Kluyveromyces lactis: one gene and its partners. The protein of the gene in region 1 interacts with the protein of each later gene in a biochemical or structural test. Links are inferred from orthologs where the notes say so. Each region holds a gene or a part of one and is shown in the gene's direction. Other genes may lie near its edges.

What was found.
Region 2: the proteins of MIA40 (region 1) and TIM9 form a complex in vitro, tested with the Saccharomyces cerevisiae proteins (4 studies listed by BioGRID). The link is inferred for Kluyveromyces lactis from reciprocal best matches to the Saccharomyces cerevisiae genes MIA40 and TIM9.
Region 3: the proteins of MIA40 (region 1) and COX17 form a complex in vitro, tested with the Saccharomyces cerevisiae proteins (2 studies listed by BioGRID). The link is inferred for Kluyveromyces lactis from reciprocal best matches to the Saccharomyces cerevisiae genes MIA40 and COX17.

What each region holds. Positions count from the first base shown.
Region 1 is NC_006040.1:228,353-231,386, forward strand, and holds MIA40 (Mia40p), read left to right. Parts: upstream 1-1,213; coding exon 1,214-2,434; downstream 2,435-3,034. Other genes in the region: palmitoyltransferase YKT6, read right to left, coding at 212-814; mRNA splicing protein SPP382, read right to left, coding at 2,811-3,034. UniProt on the Saccharomyces cerevisiae protein: Required for the import and folding of small cysteine-containing proteins (small Tim) in the mitochondrial intermembrane space (IMS). Forms a redox cycle with ERV1 that involves a disulfide relay system.
Region 2 is NC_006041.1:2,034,602-2,036,939, forward strand, and holds TIM9 (protein transporter TIM9), read left to right. Parts: upstream 1-1,515; coding exon 1,516-1,779; downstream 1,780-2,338. Other genes in the region: URA3 (orotidine-5'-phosphate decarboxylase), read left to right, coding at 394-1,197. UniProt on the Saccharomyces cerevisiae protein: Mitochondrial intermembrane chaperone that participates in the import and insertion of multi-pass transmembrane proteins into the mitochondrial inner membrane.
Region 3 is NC_006042.1:1,445,858-1,448,734, reverse strand, and holds COX17 (copper metallochaperone COX17), read left to right. Parts: upstream 1-1,411; coding exon 1,412-1,441; intron 1,442-2,202; coding exon 2,203-2,364; downstream 2,365-2,877. Other genes in the region: CYR1 (adenylate cyclase), read right to left, coding at 1-986; MEU1 (S-methyl-5-thioadenosine phosphorylase), read left to right, coding at 2,831-2,877. UniProt on the Saccharomyces cerevisiae protein: Copper chaperone for cytochrome c oxidase (COX). Binds two copper ions and deliver them to the Cu(A) site of COX.

The sequences.
Region 1 (3,034 bases):
AAATTGATCCGCTGCCCGTACTCAGCCAGATGATGATAGATAAATCAGACCCTAGTGGACAGGAAGGAACGAAAGGCTGATCAAAGGTGGCGGTCAAAACGCCGGTGAAACCTTACTATTACTTTATTTTGATTACTATTATGCTTAATACTCGTAGCAAGGGCTATATATGATCAGGCTGGCCATGTTTTGGCCTCTATTTCAAATCCGTCTACATAACTATACAGCACGAATTGGTTTTCTTTGCTTGCTTATAGAACATCCTCGATGCAGCAGATAGTGATTCGGACTTGTCTACCAAATTGTCCAATTTCTCACCTCTTTGTAATACGTTTTCAATGGTTTTGTGTAGCGTGATCTTGGTCTCGTCTAATTCTTGCTGTACACGCATTATTGCATCAGCTTGAGATGGGTCCTGATACTTGGCAATATAGATATCCAACTCCTTCAACTTGAGCGAATCGTCACTCTCCGTCACGTCCTTCCACTGGATAGGAGGGTGCGCTACCAAATACTCATCCAATACTTTGTTCAACAACGTATAAGCTGGTCTTACTGGGTACTCCTTATCCGTAATCAAAACACCACAAATTCCTTCAGGCCTTGCGTAAACGTGACCTACATAGTTACCTTCTTCAACACTCTGTCTTTGACCAGCACTTGTCCTGCCAGCAACAGTCTCACTGAAAAAGGACATGAACTGTGCAACACTGTTCCTTTCAAAGAACCCAAATTGTGATAAGTCCTTCACAGAACTTAATTCAAGGGTCTTATCATCGCTGTTTCTTAAAACTCCAATGTAATATATCTTCATCCTTGTATCCTGTATCCTGTTTTCTCCCACTTGTCAAATGAGAAAAAAAGCTACTATTTTGCCCAAACTTAACTATTCTTAGATCCCCTATACGTGTACTATAACACTGTCCTTCTCGTCTCCGTGTTATCTTCAAAATACATCATCATTTCCCATCCTCATATCACAATGCTTCAATATCCATTTTGTTTGATATTCGAATTTTTCTTTTTTTTGCTAACAAAGGCATTTTCAATTTGTCAAAGGAACATTTAAAAGAGAAGCTGATTGATACCCACAACGGGAGGAAAGAAATTTGCTTTTAGTTAGGTTTGGTATTTTTACAGTACACTTAGAAAACGTTTGAAAGTTGCTGACGAGTCAATTGATTATAGGCATATACATATTTTTTTGAAGACAATGTTCCGTGTTTCTTTACAAGCTACTAGACGTGTTGCTTTTAGATCCGCTAGACAAATTAGGTTTTACAGTGCTCATCCACCTTCCGGTGGAGTGAGCCATATGAACAAGCCAGCATTGTTGTTGGCTGGGTTCAGTACTCTTGGTGCCATCTACGTTGCTGATGGGTGTCCTACTTTGATTGAGAGGAAGCCTGCTCCTGCTGAGAAGCCTGCTGAAGAGACTCCTGCAGCGGGCCAATCACAATCTATTTCTGAACCTACGAAGGATGCCGATGAATCTCCGGTGTCTGCTCAGGAGGAAGGTGCTGAGCCAGTTACTACTCCTGAGAACGAGATTACTTATAGCGAGGAGACACACCAGGCCTTAGCAGCCACCTTATCAGGAGATGAGCCAGCTGCCATTGAGCCAGTTGCTGAATCCGTCAATGAACAAGCTACCGAACCAGCTGCCAGTGGAGAAGCCACCAATGAACCTGTTACTGGCATTTCCGAGGATACCAAAGCTCCCTCTTTGAGCTTCGATGACTCAAAAACTGCCAAGGGTGTTGTTTTAGAAGATGAAGCTGACAAAAAGGAGATTCAACAAACAAGCCCAGATGCCGTAAAAACCGCCTCAAAAGACGGTTCAGAAGGTGAATCGGATGTTGTTTTGCATGAAAAATCTCCTGCTGAAGCTGAGACCATAACAGAAGCAGAAGAGCAAGCTGAAATTCGGTCTATCTCCGGTGGCACTGCTGAACAGTCCGCTACTGCGGCTGCTGCGGCTGCAGGTGTTCAAGGTGAAAAAAAAAACGAACAACAAACTGCATACAACCCAGAAACTGGTGAAATCAACTGGGATTGTCCTTGTTTAGGTGGTATGGCATACGGTCCTTGCGGTGAAGAGTTTAAGTCCGCTTTTTCATGTTTTGTCTACTCTGAAGCTGATCCAAAGGGTATCAACTGTGTTGAGAAGTTCTCCACTATGCAAAATTGTTTCAGAAAATACCCAGACTATTATGCTGAACAAATCAAGGATGAAGAAGAAGCTTCTGCAGAAGCTTCAAAAATCGAGGATAAGAGCACTACCCCGGTTTCAACTGCCACCTCTACTGTTGAAGTACAAACTGAAAATGCCGTTTTCGAACCTGTCTTGGAAAAATATGTGGAAGAAAACCCTCAACTAAAGGATACTCCTGAAGCTGCCGCTGTCACGAACACTGACGATGAAAAGAAATAGAATCTTCCCGACCCTGAACTGCTGCCGTTAAAGATACTTTTTTAAATTTGCCAATGAGCATCATGAATTCTGACGTTTGAACAAAGATAATAAAACTAAAGCTAAAGAAATTAAAAAAATTACGTGGTTCCCTTGTTTGTGTTATATCCAATTCAAATAAAAGCCCATGGCTCTCGTAATGAACTGACCTGTTCATCGAACTCGCCTTCTTTGTCCAATAAAAAAAAAATTAACATACATTCTTATTACATTCTACAATTCCATTCGACATAATGGCAATGTGAAAACGAACAAAAATCCAATGAAATGTTCTGATAGCGTGTATAAACACTACATAAAGACATTTTCCTAATGATATGCCATGCTTATTCTGTTTTCAAATTAGATCCAGTAATTGGTAGAGAAAAATTGGCTCAAATCTTGATTCTGTTCTGTTTCTCCTTTGTAACCATAAAATATCTCCCATAAGGACTACATTTACTCTTTTATTGTTATATTTACTCACAGTGAATACCGGAGCTACCTTCTCTTTGCCAAATATATTAATTGAGGCAGTATCATTATCAGTTTTTCTGAAGGATAATCCATGATCATGACAAA
Region 2 (2,338 bases), on another chromosome or scaffold:
CATCCTGCGTGAAGATTAAAATCCAACTTAGAAATTTCGAGCTTACGGAGACAATCATATGGGAGAAGCAATTGGAAGATAGAAAAAAGGTACTCGGTACATAAATATATGTGATTCTGGGTAGAAGATCGGTCTGCATTGGATGGTGGTAACGCATTTTTTTACACACATTACTTGCCTCGAGCATCAAATGGTGGTTATTCGTGGATCTATATCACGTGATTTGCTTAAGAATTGTCGTTCATGGTGACACTTTTAGCTTTGACATGATTAAGCTCATCTCAATTGATGTTATCTAAAGTCATTTCAACTATCTAAGATGTGGTTGTGATTGGGCCATTTTGTGAAAGCCAGTACGCCAGCGTCAATACACTCCCGTCAATTAGTTGCACCATGTCCACAAAATCATATACCAGTAGAGCTGAGACTCATGCAAGTCCGGTTGCATCGAAACTTTTACGTTTAATGGATGAAAAGAAGACCAATTTGTGTGCTTCTCTTGACGTTCGTTCGACTGATGAGCTATTGAAACTTGTTGAAACGTTGGGTCCATACATTTGCCTTTTGAAAACACACGTTGATATCTTGGATGATTTCAGTTATGAGGGTACTGTCGTTCCATTGAAAGCATTGGCAGAGAAATACAAGTTCTTGATATTTGAGGACAGAAAATTCGCCGATATCGGTAACACAGTCAAATTACAATATACATCGGGCGTTTACCGTATCGCAGAATGGTCTGATATCACCAACGCCCACGGGGTTACTGGTGCTGGTATTGTTGCTGGCTTGAAACAAGGTGCGCAAGAGGTCACCAAAGAACCAAGGGGATTATTGATGCTTGCTGAATTGTCTTCCAAGGGTTCTCTAGCACACGGTGAATATACTAAGGGTACCGTTGATATTGCAAAGAGTGATAAAGATTTCGTTATTGGGTTCATTGCTCAGAACGATATGGGAGGAAGAGAAGAAGGGTTTGATTGGCTAATCATGACCCCAGGTGTAGGTTTAGACGACAAAGGCGATGCATTGGGTCAGCAGTACAGAACCGTCGACGAAGTTGTAAGTGGTGGATCAGATATCATCATTGTTGGCAGAGGACTTTTCGCCAAGGGTAGAGATCCTAAGGTTGAAGGTGAAAGATACAGAAATGCTGGATGGGAAGCGTACCAAAAGAGAATCAGCGCTCCCCATTAATTATACAGGAAACTTAATAGAACAAATCACATATTTAATCTAATAGCCACCTGCATTGGCACGGTGCAACACTACTTCAACTTCATCTTACAAAAAGATCACGTGATCTGTTGTATTGAACTGAAAATTTTTTGTTTGCTTCTCTCTCTCTCTTTCATTATGTGAGATTTAAAAACCAGAAACTACATCATCGAAAAAGAGTTTTAAACCATTACAACCATTGCGATAAGCCCTCTCAAACTTCCTCCAGACTGTTTGTCATCCAATTGGTAAGATTAATTATCATATACCCCGGATAAGAAAAGAAGCAAGCACACAATGGATCAACTTAATGGTAAGGAACAACAAGAGTTCCAAAAAATCGTGGAACAAAAGCAAATGAAGGATTTCATGCGTCTATACTCCAACTTGGTCGAAAGATGTTTCAGCGACTGTGTCAACGACTTCACATCCGCTAAGCTTACTTCTAAGGAACAAAACTGTATAATGAGATGTTCAGAAAAGTTCTTGAAACACAGTGAACGTGTGGGTCAACGTTTCCAAGAGCAAAATGCTGCCATGAATCAAACCATGGGTCGTTAAAAGGTTTAAAGAAGAAATTCTCCCTACCAACCTCAAATTTTATTCTGTACATACTTCATTATATTATAACATTATATTATAACATTATATCATAACATTTTATCGTAGCTACTACGATTACCATAGATTTTAAGGACTATCTCTCCCATGTATATTCATTCTGTTTCTGTATATAGAAAGGTTTGCATTTCATTGCCATATGACTGGCCAAAAAAAGATGCTCCTCAGACACAAGGTAATCGGTATTGTGTTATCTGCGTAAGTTGCAGACTCCCTGCATTGCACTCAACTAGGCATTGTCGTAAATGACAAGCTAAACTGTCCGTCCGTTGTCCCTCCCATGTCACGTGGTCTCCATTAGAGAAGAACTGGCGACTTGATTTATTATAACAACGACAATAGGGCTCAAGCTGAAGTTCCATTAGAAACAACCTTCTCACGAAGCGAAAATCCCGTTAGGGATTTGCTTGATTATAACTCACCGGGGGTTTGAACCCTCGGCGAGCGGACAGCTGCGTTCCACCGAATTTCCCACCTGGAATGAGGAGAACAACTCCTC
Region 3 (2,877 bases), on another chromosome or scaffold:
GGTGCATTAGAAGTAACGACGACATCCGTCATATCAGAAAGTTTGTCTAAATCTAGGTCAACACCAAATATTTCTTTAGCGGCTGATAATTTAGAAGCATCAAATGAGGTCCCTGAATTTCTTCTTGACAGGTCTGTGTCAATACTTCTGCCTGCAGAACTTACTCCATGTTGTTGGTTCGAAACGCCACTTGTCGCATTCCCACCGCTTAAATTTGAACCATTGCTGGCTTCGTTACCTGAATGTAACAGGGAGCTGCCCTTAGACCCAGAGTGTTTCATATGAGGAGCATTTGCGGATGTCAAAGTAGACGCCGCAGACATGGTTGAAGAACCATGTATGAATGTGCTCATCTTTCTCCGCAAAGCGTTAGTGGGAACTTGCTGTTGCAGAGACTGTTGATGAAAGGGTGACTGCTGTTCACCATCTGAAGCCGACACTCTGCCACCTTGGCTTATTTGATTATCTGAATCTGGAGGCCCTCCTTGGCTTGCCAGAGATGATTTCCTGCTGGTAAGTTTCTTGAAGAAATTAGTTGCACGTGACGGTTTGGTAGTTCCTTTATGTCCATGTGAAGTAGCTGTTGATACTGACAGCGTACTGGAAGTGCGCGAAAGTAGCGGCAGGTTACCTCTTGATGAAGTTGCGGTCAGGTTTGCAGTCCGGGACCTTTCAAAAGTGGGTTTCACCGGTTTTGCCAAAGGTGGTTGAGGATTGTGCGCGAATGATCCAGCATCACGAACTATAGCAGAATGGAAACCCTTTTTCCCAGGTTTCACCTTCTTCGTAATTGCATCTATGGAATAGTCCTCTTTAAAAGTGGGCATACCAACGTCTTGCCATTCGCTATCGGTATCGCTTCGTGGTTGTAACTCCCTACCGCTATTTTTACTTGAGATACTGTTATTTGAAGAAGCACTGCCAGCACTGTTTCTTGCTCCCGAGGAGATGGAGCTTCGATTAGTTTCTTTCGGTTGTGGATTCATAGTTGACCTCTTCTTTCTCTCGCACTGTGGTTTGTCTTGAGTGGTTGAATTTACAAATGAATACAAGTACCCATAAACCAGCACTTAAGAATCCAAACAGGACAGATTATTATAAGGAAAATGATTATTATCCAACTTCTGACAAAGATTATGCCAAAATGAAGTGAGACTATAATCGATTGTGTTTTTGTCAACAGAAATTAAAATTACAAATTGCTGTTGAAGATATATTATTGTCTTTAATTACAAATAGTGTCAAATCAAAGTCTGATAAAAACCAGTGATTAACTAAGAACGCAAAATGATCAACGTACTTGGTTTTTTCAACACCAGCGTAAACACGATAACACAATTGAATCGTTGTAACACTATATTTCAATGAGCACTTGGGTTATGACAATACCAGAGTGAAGTAGGGTTTTACTATGCACCTGAATTTCCAATCTAGTGCATCAGTATGTCCGTATCAAACATTATATTTTGCACATTTTGTTATTTCACATTTTTTTCAGCTCTCCATCAATTCAGTGAGAAATTTTCGTTTCCAACGTGCAAAGTCTCCCCTTAACAAAAAGGGAAGCTTTGACATCATCATACGTGGAACGGTAATGCTGCAATGTGAGGGATCCAGCTGCTAGCTTTAATGAGACCTCATGTTCAAACTGAACCTACTGTCCGCTTTTCATTTTACTGCCCTAAGTTAAGGATGAAGAGTATAAGAGAGGTGATAGGAGATATAAAATTACCACGTGACTGATATTGCAAACTCAGCAATCAGTTGAAATTGAAAGCTGATCTGGTGGTTTTGATATTCTATACAATGTACCAACTTCTTATTTATCTCTAGGAGAACTCTATCGAGCCTGTAATTCAACTTCCAGCAGCTCTCCATATGGACTCTTCGTTCGAACATTTTTACCATATATGGCGGATTAGATAATCAATCGGACAAGTCACATGAGCATTATCCGGGTAATGAAATCAGACACTGAATGTTAAAAGTTCAAAAAGGTAACTACTGAGAAGCTTCTCACAGGATTTAGTAATACAACTAACATGTCGATGGTTTGTAAAGAATTGTAGGTAAGTTATTGAAACCAGCCCTTTAATCTGTCACCATTTAACCTGATACCTTTCAGTTCAATATCCAGACACATCCCAACAGCAAAACTCTATAGAAACAATGCCACAAGAGACCAACACTGCTCCAGTTAAGACAGAGACAGAGGCTACTAAGCCAAAGCCATGCTGTGTTTGCAAGCCAGAAAAGGAAGCTAGAGACGAATGTCTTCTATTTAATGGCCAAGAATCCGGTAAGTGCGATGAGTTGATCGCTAAGTATAAGACCTGTATGAAGGGATATGGCTTTGAAGTTTGAATCTAATGCGACAATGGCAGCTGACCCATTATGACGAAACTTTGCGAAGAGAAGAATATTTATACATATATCAATGTTTGGAAGGTTTGGAAGGTTTTCGACTACCCCATCCTCATTCCTGTAAATACTGCGATAACCAGAAATTCCAAATTCCAACTTTAGTATACCTACAACTATACAAAAATCATTTATGCAATTAAAAGCATAGTCTTAGAAGCTAGGTTCTGTTAATAATTGTGTCTTTTTAATAGTATCATTGAAACAAAAGAAAAAGAAGAAGAGCACGTGATTATTCATTTTTTTTCACCTGCGTTGTCTCTCGAATGCTCATCTCCATCTTCAGAAAAGTTTACAATGAGCGCATGCATGCATTAATTTAAATAAAACTGTCTGTAAATTAGTCCTTTCAAATCTGATCTGGTGAACCAAAACTCTTCTAGTTCCTCTTTACAACGTTATTCGTTTTATGAAAACGTTCGTCAGGAAGTTTAACGTTATCCCGAAATTCTACAG